2 linked regions of the Ovis aries genome follow. The protein of the gene in region 1 interacts with the protein of each later gene in a pairwise test. Links are inferred from orthologs where the notes say so. Each region holds a gene or a part of one and is shown on either strand. Other genes may lie near its edges.

Region 1 (6,102 bases):
CCTTCACTCCGGGGTGCTATCCCCATCCTCTGCCTCATCGTTCCCCTGAGCACTGGGGGACAGACCCTCACCCCCACCCTGGGGGTGCGGCACCTCCAAACTTTCAACTTCAGGGTGATTTTTTAGCAGTAACCAGAGCTGACAATCTAACTCCCCTCCACCGCCCCATTTTGGCCTCCCCTGTCCCCCTTGTTATGGGGAGGGGCCCCAGGTGAGGGGGTCCTATTACCCCTTGATTTCTCAGGAGCGTCTGGGGGGGCTCAGCACGCACAAACTCCTTCTCCTCCTACCACTCTCAAATACTCTCCCTCCCCACCCAGAACCCAGATGGGGTGGAGGGGCCGCCGGGCAGGGAGGGGGCGGCAAAGGGGGAATGGGACTTGTCTCCCTTTCTTCCCATACCTGATCTGCTCTTGGCTGGTCCCAGAGCGGGGTGAGGGGGCTCAGGCCCCCCCCTCCCCCAGTGTGTTGGGTGGGGTGGAACTGAGGTTCAGGGGAGGGGTTAGGGTTTAGGAGTGGGGTGTATGTTGGGGAGGACAGACTAGCTGATCTGCCCTACCCTGACACACACAGCCCCCCTGCCCCCCACCTCTTGGTCTCTACTCCCAGGGGGAGGGGGGAACTTACTCTAGGAAAAGCCATGTCTCTCTCCCCCAGGGCAGGGGGACCTGTGTTGGAGGAGGGGTGTTGGGGGCCCCCTTCCATGACTCTGTCCCCTGGGGGAGGTAGGACAGGGCTGGGCTTCCCTCTCATCCTCCCCACCCCCCAATCTCCCTCCACGTCTCTCCCTCCCGCCAGCGCCAGCTCCACAATTTTTCGGTGTTTCTCTGTACATAGCTCTCTGGCGGGATAGGGGAGGTAGGATGGATGGGGTTTGGGGTGGGTCGGTCATAGGAGGAGAGAAGGTCCTCCTTGGCACCCCCTCTTCCCTGACTGCTGTCCTCTACCCAGCCTTGCCCCCTCATCCCTTCTTGCGTTTGGTATTGAGACTTCTCAGACTCCACCCTTCTTTCTTTTGTATGGACAGTTCCCCTTCAGTCCCATACCCCTACATACAGACACCCAGCCGGGGCCAAATTTATACTTATATAAAAGTTGTAAATATGTGAAATTTTATCCCTGTGCCCTTCCTTGCTTTCCCAACCTCAGACCCTACCCCTGGACCTCCTTTCCTCTCTTCTTTGGCTGTTGTAATTATCTGGGATTTGTACTGTACATATCCGGGGTGTGTGTGTGTGGGCTGGGGGCAACCCCTCTGTACAGCGCTTCCTGGCCCCCTCCCCACCACGATTCCCTCTCCCCCAATAAGGGTAGGGAGATGTTCTTCCTACCTGTTTTATTTTGTTTTCTCGTTCTCCCTCCCCACCCCACCCCACCCCCAGCCTACTCTCTCCCCCACCACTGCCCCTTCCACTCCCAGCCCCATTTCCTTTTTTTCTGGAGTGTGTGGTGAAACAGAAAAATCATGTTTAATAAACGGAGATTGTTCTTTTACCGCGGTGCTGACTTTCCTAGTCTCGGACCTCCCGGAGGATCAGCATGGTGACAGGAACTGCTTTTTGAGGAAGCTGACAGCTTGGGAGAAATTCTGTATCCTTGTGTGACGCCATAGTCTTGGCCCTAGAATATCGCTCTCCCAACTAGCAAGATTGTTTTGAGTAGGGGTTTTTGCACAGGCCAAATTTCCCCCATGTGTCTCACCATTGCGCCACTTAACCCCAAGAGAAAAGAGGTTAAGGAACAGCAGCAGTATCTGATAAAAAATAAGTGTACATCTACATGTCCCTTAAAAGTAATTACCTAGAAGAGAAGATTATTTCATTGTTGGTTAAAGTGCTCCCGTACGGAACGGAGGAAAGAACTTGGTGCCTCAGCCTTGTGGAGTCGGCCCCTGAGCCAGCACTTGCCGTCTCGGCTTCCCCTGAGGAAAGGATGGGAACTCCTACCTCGCTGGTGGCGGGTCGGGGGAGGGGGCGTGGGATAGAAGGTGATATGAACAATACCTAATACGCTAGGTGTCCTCTTAATCTCAGCACCCATCGGGGGCAGGCGTTACATTTAATCACTGGCACGGCTCACTGGTGGCACCCTCGGTACCGCCTGCGCATTCTCATCCCCTCTGCGGCCCCAGCCGGGTGTACTGCCTCCCGCCAGGACCGCCTTCTCGCCGGCATGACCAATCGACGTGAGGCTTGTAGGCCGGCGCCCTCCGATTGGCTGCCTCCCTGGCCCCGCCCAACTCCCCGGGGGTCCGCTTCCGGCGGGGAGGAGGCGGCTTCCGGCCGAGGCGGCGCGGTTGCTGCAGAGCCGCTCTGGACGCAGGACCGCGTGTGTACCCGTGGGGGCGTGGCGACAGGAAGGGCCAAGTGGCTGGCGCTCGCGGTCCCCGGGTACCTGCCAGGGAGTTGGACTCTGCGGGCACGTGAGTTGGGGAGCGGAACGGTGGGAAGAAGCCGACCGGGCCGGCGGGATCCGGCTCGCGGCTGAAGGACCTCCTCCTCGCCACAGGCCCTTCAAGTTCAATCCCCGGTTGGTGTTTTGTTGTGGTTTGTTTTCGTTTTCTTGGCGGGGGAGTGTGTGGGACTGTTCTGCCCGAACCACCGGCTACCGAAAAGTTCCACACGTTGGGGTGCAGCGGAGGCGGACGTTGCTTGGGGAGATACGATTGTCTTTATCCACAGCTTCTGTGACCCCTTCTTTCCTCCACAGCCCTCGTCGCGCAGGGGCTCTCCCCCGCCCTCTCACCTCCTGTACCCGACCCTCTGGGATCTCTTTCTTCCCCAGGAGGCCATGGATACCTCGACGCCTTTGCCTCCTGTAGCCCCCTCCCCAGCCTGCAACCCAGCCCCACGGACGATCCAGATCGAGTTCCCTCAGCACAGTTCTTTGCTGCTGGAGGCCCTGAACCGCCACAGGCTGGAGGGAAAGTTCTGTGACGTCTCTCTCCTGGTGCAGGGCCGCGAACTGAGGGCCCACAAAGCAGTGTTGGCCGCCGCTTCTCCTTACTTCCACGACAAACTACTTCTGGGGGATGCACCGCGTCTCACCCTACCCAGCGTTATCGAAGCCGATGCCTTCGAGGGGCTGCTCCAGCTCATTTATTCGGGGCACCTCCGTCTGCCCCTGGATGCTCTCCCTGCACACCTTCTTGTGGCCAGTGGCCTGCAGATGTGGCAAGTGGTAGATCAGTGCTCAGAGATCCTTAGAGAACTGGAAAACGCAGGTGGTGGGATTTCGTCCCGAGGAGTAGCCCCTTTCCACACACTTCTTTCCACCACAGGAGGCTGGTCCATCCGCTCTTCTCCTTTCCAGACCCCGGCACAGTCTTCTGCTTCTAACCAGAGCTCGATTGGAGGGGAGGGGAGTGAACTGGGAGATATATTACAGCTTCAGGTTGAAGAGGAAGATGAGGAAGAAGATGAGGAGGACCAAGGGTCAGCAGCACCCTGTCAGACTCCTCAGCCTCAGAGAGGATCAGGGAGTTTTCCTCCCCCTCCTGTATCCTACCCCCTGCCCACATCCACTATTCCTTGCAGAGTTCCAGAGGGCGAGAGTGCCCCACCTGAGCCTCCTGCTCCTCATACTGCATTGCCCCCCAAAATCTTCTACATCAAGCAGGAACCCTTTGAGTCCAAGGAGGAGATAGCTGGAGGCGGAAGTCAGTCTGTAGGAGCAAAGGAGGAGACCAAAGTGTTTCCAGCAGGGAACACTGAAGAGAATGGACAACTAGGGTTCCTGCTGCCCTCAGGAGCAGGGACAACATCTGGAGGAGGTGATCCATCCTGGAAACCAGTGGATCTTCATGGGAATGAAATCCTATCAGGGGGTGGGGGACCTGGGGGAGTAGGGCAGGCTGTGCATGGGCCTGTGAAGCTAGGTGGCGCTCCCCCTGCAGATGGAAAACGCTTTGGTTGTTTGTGTGGGAAACGCTTTGCAGTGAAGCCAAAGCGTGACCGGCACATCATGCTGACATTCAGCCTTCGACCCTTTGGCTGTGGCATCTGCAACAAGCGTTTCAAGCTGAAGCACCACCTGACAGAGCATATGAAGACGCATGCTGGAGCCCTACATGCCTGTCCTCACTGTGGTCGCCGGTTCAGAGTCCATGCCTGTTTCCTTCGCCATAGGGACCTCTGCAAGGGTCAGGGCTGGGCCACTGCTCACTGGACTTACAAGTGATTGCTAAGGCCATATGCTAACTTTCAGGACAAGGGAGCCACTACTGCTGATGGATACTTATTACCGCTCACTACCACAGTACCCTAATCCTGTATCTTGATGTTGGTGTTGGTGGTTTTTTCTTGGCCATACCTCGTAGCATGCCACCAGGGATTGAACCTGCACCCCTGCAGTAGACAGTGCAGAGTCCTAACCACTGGACTAGCAGCAACGTCATATCTTGTTAGTTATTCCACAAGGATAGATATATTATGGATCTCTTCTTGGATGTGGGCCTCAACCTGACAGATTTGAAAACTTGATTTCTCATCTCCAGGTTTTTGCTAACTATCCTCCGGGAGACTGGTTTACAGGCCCTAGATATACTGATCAGTTGCCTGTAATCGATCCTTTCATACAGGAAACTGGATTAAATTTCAGATTAGAAGTTTTATTTGATGAGAGAGGAGTTAGAGCAAGAAAAATTATGATAAATGTTTAATTCAGTCTCTATGAGAAGTTAAGGGAGCTGGTCTCCATCTAGAGATGTGTTTGATTCAGAGTTCTAGTAATCCAGAGACTAAGCTCTAAGCTTTACTTTTCCCTCATCATTGCTGAAATTTTATGAGTAAAGGTCTTATATACTTTTCTTTTGTTATGATTTTCTGGAAACCCTTCAGTCTATAAATTACTTTCTCACCAGTAGGTACTTTTTCAACACCTTTATTTTGTATGTTGTAGTTGAGCGCTTTAACAAATTGAGAATTCCATGAGTCACTTAGAACCCTCTTTAATAGAGGTATTCCCTCCACAGTCTGTGCCTCTTGTCTACCTTTGACCACCACTTATCACTCATATTGATCACAGGGACTGAAGTGTGATCAGTGAACTCAGGAGATGGCCATTGACCTAAAAATAAAATACTCTCAGGGTAGTGCCACTGCTCTGAACAAGAGGCCGAGGTTAGAGGGACTCAGGGCTGAGATGGCACATGCTGAAAACTAGAGAAATAACTGCACAGTGGGACCATACCTCCTCCCTGTCCATCCTCACCCACATTACAGCCCCTTGGTCCACACACAGAAGGGTAGATATTGGAATGGGGAGATTGTCGTAGTTTTCTTTATTTCTTCAAATAAACTTTGCCATGAAATCTAAGCTAACTATGAACTGAATTGAGTCATTTATATGGGAGAGAACATGTGAAAAGAGTTGCGAAGACCTGGATGTCTTCCTTATGCAGCTGGGTTATGTCAGTGGGGGAAGAACCAGATAGTTTCATGCTGATGCAGAGAACACAATCCTGGACATTGGTGGACCAGATTCTCAGTCCTCACCTGCCTTTTTTGTTTTGAGGGGTGGGGTGTTATGTACCTTCTAACTGGTTCTTTGTTTTTTGTTTATTATTTTAGAGATTGTTCACATGATTTTATAATGTTGCCTCCTGACCTCATATATTATGTGTATTGTTTGGTTTGTTCAACATTTATTGCAAAGCACTGTACTCAACCCTGACTTACACTCTTAACCTTGAAGAGTTTGCAGCTACTACCAAAGCTAGACATAATGACAGTGTGGTATAGTAAGTCCATGATGGGGGACAGTACACGCTACTGTAGTGGCACAAAGGAAGCTGAGTAAAGAACCTATTATAGATCACCAGAGGTTTCACAAAGACCTCCATTGCCAGAGTGTGGCAGTGGGGATAGGTGGCCGAATTGATGTGGAAAGGGTGAGCATGAGAACCGTAGAGGCAAGACTGGCAGCCTTTGCCAAAGCAGGTACCTCGGAAGTTAGTAGGTATGGAGCCTAAAGGGGCTACAACTATGACTGTGGCTGAGAAGGTGAGTTCTAGCTGGGATCTGTCAGTCTTTCTAAAGAGCCATCCCCACTATTAGGACTGTGACCACACTGGGTACAGGGTCAGGGATGGAGGCTGCCACC
Region 2 (6,214 bases), on another chromosome or scaffold:
CCAACGCATGAAAGTGAAAAGTGAAAGTGAAGTCGCTCAGTCCTGTCCGACTCCCAGCGACCCCATGGACTGCAGCCCACCAGGCTCCTCCGTCCATGGGATTTTCCAGGCGAGAGTACTGGAGTGGGGTGCCATCGCCTTCTCTGTCCCCTACTCCTAGGCAACAATTAATCTATTTTCTGTCTCTATAGATTGGCTTATTCTGTACATTTCAGATAAATGATACCATAAAATATATGGTTTTTTTTGACTAGTTGGGAGTGATGTCACTTTTCATTCCTGATTTCAGTAATTTGAATCTTCTCTTTTTTTACTTAGTCAATCTAGCTGAAACTTTGTCAATTTTGTTGATCTTTCTTAAAAACAGTACTTTTGGTTTTACTGATTTTCTCTATTGTTTTCCTACTTTCCGTTACATTTATTTCCTCTCCAATTTTATTATTTCCTTCCTTCCTTCTGCTTGCTTTGGGATTACTCTATTCTTTTTCTAGTTTCTGAAGGTGGCAGATCAGGCTATTCATTTAAGATTTTTCTTTTTTAATAGGGACGTTTATATCTATAAGATTCCATTTAAGCACTGCTTTAGCTGTACCTCATAAATTTTGGTGTGCTGTGCCTTAGTTTTCAAGTTATTTCAAGATGTCTTGTTTTCCCTTGTGATTTTCCTTTTACTCATTTGTTATTATTATTATTTTTTAAATTATGAATGGGTAATGAAATTTTTTTTTGCATCAGTTCTACTGAACTGAATAGGGACGTTTATAAGATTCCATTTAAGCATTGCTTTAGCTGCACCTCATAAATTTCGGTGTGCTGTGCCTTAGTTTTCAAGCTATTTCAAGATGTCTTGTTTTCCCTTGTGATTTTTTTTCTTTTACTCATTTGTTATTTAGAAGTGTGTTAAAATGCACATATTTGTGAATTCCACAAATGTCTTTCTGTTATTGAATTCTAATTTCACCCCACTGTGGTTGAAGAACAATCTTTGTATGGTTTTAATCCTTTTAAACTTATTGAGGGCTGCTTTAGGAGATAACATATCCTGGAACATGTTCCACTTGCACTTCAGAAAAATGTGTATTCTGCTGTTGTTGGGTGGAGTGTTCTGGATACATTATTAAATGCAGATTTGTAGGCATTGCTATCTGAGGTTGCTGTCCAAGGGCCTGAAATCTGCATCCTTAATAAGTTCCCCACATCTTCTCTGTGCAGTACCCTGTGTCCCGAATTCATGGACATAGGCGTCCACCACTCCTGGCTTCCTTAGATTTAATTATAGGTTAAGCATCTAGTCCCATCACTTCATGGGAAATAGGTGGGGAAACAGTGGAAACAGTGTCAGACTTTATTTTTTTGGGCTCCAAAATCACTGCAGATGGTGACTGCAGCCATGAATTTAAAAGACGGTTACTCCTTGGAAGAAAAGTTATGACCAACCTAGATAGCATATTCAAAAGCAGAGATATTACTTTGCCGACTAAGGTCCGTCTAGTCAAGGCTATGGTTTTTCCAGTAGTCATGTATGGATGTGAGAGTTGGACTGTGAAGAAGGCTGAGTGCCGAAGAATTGATGCTTTTGAACTGTGGTGTTGGAGAAGACTCTTGAGAGTCCCTTGGACTGCAAGGAGATCCAACCTGTCCATTCTGAAGGAGATCAACCCTGGGATTTCTTTGGAAAGAATGATGCTAAAGCTGAAACTCCAGTACTTTGGCCACCTCATGCGAAGAGTTGACTCATTGGAAAAGACTCTGATGCTGGGAGGGATTGGGGGCAGGAGGAGAAGGGGACGACAGGGGATGAGATGGCTGGATGGCATCACTGGCTCGATGGACCTGAGTCTGAGTGAACTCCGGGAGTTGGTGATGGACAGGGAGGCCTGGCGTGCTGTGATTCATGGGGTCGCAAAGAGTTGGATACGACTGAGCGACTGAACTGAACAGAACTGAACAGTGTTGGTGTCATCGATTCCTCGACAGACTTTTCTATTACTCTTGTCTTGTTACCAGGTCAGCGGAAAGGCGAATCTGCATTCTTAGGCTCGGCTTTCGACTCCTTCTGTCTGGGCGATACTGCGCAGGGATTGGCCCGCCTGGGCGTCATGTGGTCCGCAGCCGGATGATGGCGGGCGCTGCTGAAGATGTGCGAGCGCTCTTCGGGGCTGCAGTCCGAGCGGCGCTGGAGGCCTGGCCCGCCTTGCAGGTGAGCGGAGCCGCGGTTGGGATAAAGGTTAGCGACCGTTAGAGAACAGGAGTTGGTTTAGCGAGCCGCCTGAAGCTTGGTTGGGCGGCATAAACAGCGGAATTCTGCGCCACTGCAGGCGGGCTCCCCGATTGACGTGATGGGCTTGGGTCTGTATTCGCAGATCGCTGTGGACAACGGCTTCGGAGGTGTGCACAGCCAAGAGAAGGCTGAGTGGCTGGGGGGTGCAGTGGAGGAGTATTTCTTCCGCAATGGTGAGTGAATGTAAGGCTCTGGGACTTCTCTGTGGGGGCTTGAGGAGGAGGAGGCCGCCGATCCTAGTGAATACGCACTTCTTTTTTTTAATTTTTTAAAAATTTTTCTTTATTTTTTGAATCGCATTTCTTGAGCAATTGTCGGTTGGTACCTGAGGGCGAGGTGGAATGAACGCAGGCTTTGAAGTTAGAATCCTGAGTTCGAATGCCTCGTGGCCGTTGCCATTGACTCCGGGTATCATGCTGGACAAGTATTATCGCCCCGCCTCAATACTCAGTTTACTAATTTGTAAAATGGATGTAAAAGTATCCACCAGCGTGATCCTACAGAAACATGTTAGTCGCATTATGTAATTTAAAAATTTTCAGCCGCCACGTTAATAAAGTAAAAACAAGCAGATGAAATGAACTGCTCACCTCAATAGATCCAAAATGTTTCAACATGTAGTCAGTATAAAACGCTGTTAATGAGATGTTTTACAACCTTTTTTAGTATTAAATTTTCAAAATCTGGTGGGTATTTTGCAGTTTTAGCACGTCTCATTGTTTTTTTGCCTAGCCACATTTTAAGTGCTCAGTACGTTTGACTATTTGGACAGCAGAGATCTACATTTTTGATGCGTCTTGAGAGTCGTATAAGAACAAAGGGTCCTACAGGGAGTCTTTTACGAAATAAGGTTTTTACAGAATTCTTCATTTAGTTTTTTAGTCTTGGAGGTGACATTAGGCGGAGTCCTTTCTCTCAAGGAAATTTACCATCTAGTGAGAGATCCAGATAAGTAAATAGGCATTTGCAGACAGGGTGATAGGTGTTCTAATAATGAGGAGCTCAGGATGCTTGGGTAATGTGAGCTTCGGGAGAAGGCGTCTTTCCGAGATCTTTAGGGAGTGGTGGTGATTGGGCTGAATCTTAAGGGATGAGAAAGGAGTTAATAAGGAGGGGAGGCAGAGAGAGCAACATTCAGAAATAAGTCCTGTGGTATGAGGAGATTATGTGTTATATTTGGAAAGTGGCAGAGAGTTCAGTGTTAGAGTAGGGATGTGTGTGTGTGCTTGTGGGTATGTGGAAGGGAGGAGTGGTGGAGAATGAAGATGGGAGATGGGGAAGCCACTGGAAAATGAATGAGACATGGAAGGACTTATGTGCCTTTGATTTTTGTCCTTTAGGCCAGCGTTTGCCAGAATGCATGCTTTGGAAGACTAGTTCTATTAGATGTTCAGTGAAGAAAAAGCTTCTCCAGTCAAATTATATAAGGAAAGCTCTTTTCTTCAGCTCTTAAGAGTCACAGTAATTATTAACATATTAAAGGCTTGGATAAGGACAAGAACCACTGAAAAGAAACCTGTTTACCTTTGTTTCCCTTTAGTTTTCTTTGAATAACTTCCCTTAAAATCCAGGAGGCCAGTTATTTTTCAAAAGCAGAATATGAAACACTACAGTTAGGTGATTAAAAATTCATGAGCAGGATCTAATAGGATGGGGTTTTCTGGCTAGAAAGTTCAGAAAGTAGTCAGTGTGGAGCATGGACTTTAGAGGGAAAGACTAAGGAGAGGGCTGTGTCTGTCTAGAAAATGATGAGGCCTGAATTAGGGCATTAGTCATGGGAAAGAAGGGATGGCTCAAAGGAAATTGTTTGACTGTAGAGAGGGAGGAAAAATGGGGCAGGTTTCTAGTTTGAGTCACTGGGTGGCTTAGGTACCTTTAATGGACTAGAAGAACACTGGAGAATGAAAATTAGGTTTGGAGGGTAAGATGATGAATCTGGCTTTGGATGTGGAGGGTCTGAAGCACCTGTGGAACAGGTGGAGCATAGCCTGGGTTGGAGACTGATTTGGGGGGTATTAGAATGGTAGGGGGAGAAGGCAGTGGCACCCCACTCTAGTACTCTTGCCTGGAAAATCCCATGGACGGAGGAGCCTGGGAGGCTGCAGTCTATGGGGTCGCTAGGAGTTGGACACGACTGAGTGGCTTCACTTTCACTTTTCACTTTCATGCATTGGAGAAGGAAATGGCAACCCACTCCAGTGTTCTTGCCTGGAGAATCCCGGGGACGGGGCAGCCTGGTGAGCTGCTGTCTATGGGGTTGCACAGAGTCGCATACGACTGAAGTGACTTAGCAGCAGCAGCAGCGGCAGCAGCAGCAGAATGGTAGGGAAAGTGAAGAGGGTGAATGAGCTCTCCCAGAGGGAATAGAGAGCAAGGAGCTTTGTGGAAGACTTTCTTGAGTTTTTTCTAATTCAGAAAAAGTAGAGCATGGGCCCATAAGGTAACTGAAGCTGAGAGAGGAAGTCTCAGCTAAAGTCATACAATAGGACATTGAGGTCAAGGCTGTGGCAAGTACTGAGGTCATCATGGCAAGTACTGAGGTCATCATGGCAAGTACTGAACATCTGTTTCTTTTTACCTATCCCATTGGTCTGTGGCCTCCTGTGTCAGTGGAACCACAGTTGTGAAGTCTTTACATTTCAATAACTTCAGCCCTTGAGTAATGGAAATGAACATGGATTTCCATTGTTCCAAACAAACAATGCCTGTGCTAGGCATTGTTTGGGTGACTTCTCATAACAGACCTTCAAGAAGGTTACCATTAACCTCACTTTGCAGAAGAGAAAACAGTCTTGGAGATGAGTAACTCACATGTTCAAAGTCACGTGGAGAGGAGGCTGGTTAAAATAGGCCAGCTAAAAAGAGGGTGAGTGTGGATGGAATGCTGTAGGAATAGAGGACCTGGTAGAATGCAGAAGGTTGGAAATTAGGTATTTAATGTTTGTTTTTTTTTTAATCATGTTAAAACCTGGAATGTAGAACACTTTAGCAAATAAAAGTCTCATTAAATCTTTACCCACCAATCAGATGTGGATCCACCAAGTAGGTACTTAAGAGTAGTGGGCAAGGGTGATGAAGTTGGCTGGTCTTTGACCAGAGGACTTTATCCTTTCATACTCAGCTGACTTGGAGCTAGATGAGGTGGAGGACTTCCTCGGGGAGCTAATGATGAACGAGTTTGATACGGTTGTGGAGGATGGGAGTCTGCCCCAGGTGAGCATGTCATGGATACAACTACCATCTTCCTGCCTGTAGCCTTTCTTCTCGCTAGCTGTCTGTTTTAGATTAACACTTTTGGCTGTAACCATTTTCTTGAGTCCTGTGCAAGAACTTGCTATGACCCCCTGTTGCCTAAAGGAAAGTCTAGTCTTCCCAGGCCTTTCAAATCCTGCCTGTATTGTTTCTCTCCATGTATCATTCTCAGTCAGGTTTGTTTGTCACCTCCATCTCAGGGGCACACCAGGCAGGTACATTTCTAAATGTTCTGGTTTAACATCACTACTCCTCCTAGGATTGCCTTTCCTTTTTACGTCTTCTGTCTTTCAAACCCAGTTCTAGTGCCTTCTGTGCTAGGAGGGCCTCCTTCAACACTTCAGGCCCTTAATGAGCCCTTCAGATGTGGTTGCTTCATTAGTGAACTCCTTGGGGGAGGAAAGATCCCCATTCTCTTCTGGAAAACTCTAGACCCCTCCCCATTCTTGTTGCAAACACAAGCTGGTTGTATTGTAGGTTCTCTAGAAAATCGAAGCTGGTTGAATGTTTTCTTGGTAGGTGAGCCAGCAGCTGCAGACCATGTTCCACCACTTCCAGAGGGGTGATAGGGCTGCTCTGAAGGAGATGGCCTCTCTCATCACCCAAAGAAAGTGCAAGGTCAGAGCCACTGCACTGCCGACAGCCGGAGAGACCGATGAGGACGATGATGCAAACAGCGTG

What was found. The genes of interacting proteins can lie anywhere in the genome.
Region 2: the proteins of ZBTB9 (region 1) and TSR2 interact in binary tests that used the Homo sapiens proteins (3 or more experiments, as listed by UniProt). The two-hybrid records come from large-scale screens. The link is inferred for Ovis aries from reciprocal best matches to the Homo sapiens genes ZBTB9 and TSR2.

The regions. Positions count from the first base shown.
Region 1 is NC_056073.1:7,780,730-7,786,831, forward strand, and holds ZBTB9 (zinc finger and BTB domain-containing protein 9), read left to right. Parts: upstream 1-2,280; 5' UTR 2,281-2,422; exon of another isoform or gene 2,423-2,529; intron 2,530-2,709; exon of another isoform or gene 2,710-2,784; 5' UTR 2,785-2,790; coding exon 2,791-4,179; 3' UTR 4,180-5,316; downstream 5,317-6,102. UniProt on the Homo sapiens protein: May be involved in transcriptional regulation.
Region 2 is NC_056080.1:52,469,002-52,475,215, forward strand, and holds the start of TSR2 (pre-rRNA-processing protein TSR2 homolog), read left to right. Parts: upstream 1-2,101; 5' UTR 2,102-2,116; coding exon 2,117-2,200; intron 2,201-2,363; coding exon 2,364-2,454; intron 2,455-5,402; coding exon 5,403-5,494; intron 5,495-6,052; coding exon 6,053-6,214. UniProt on the Homo sapiens protein: May be involved in 20S pre-rRNA processing.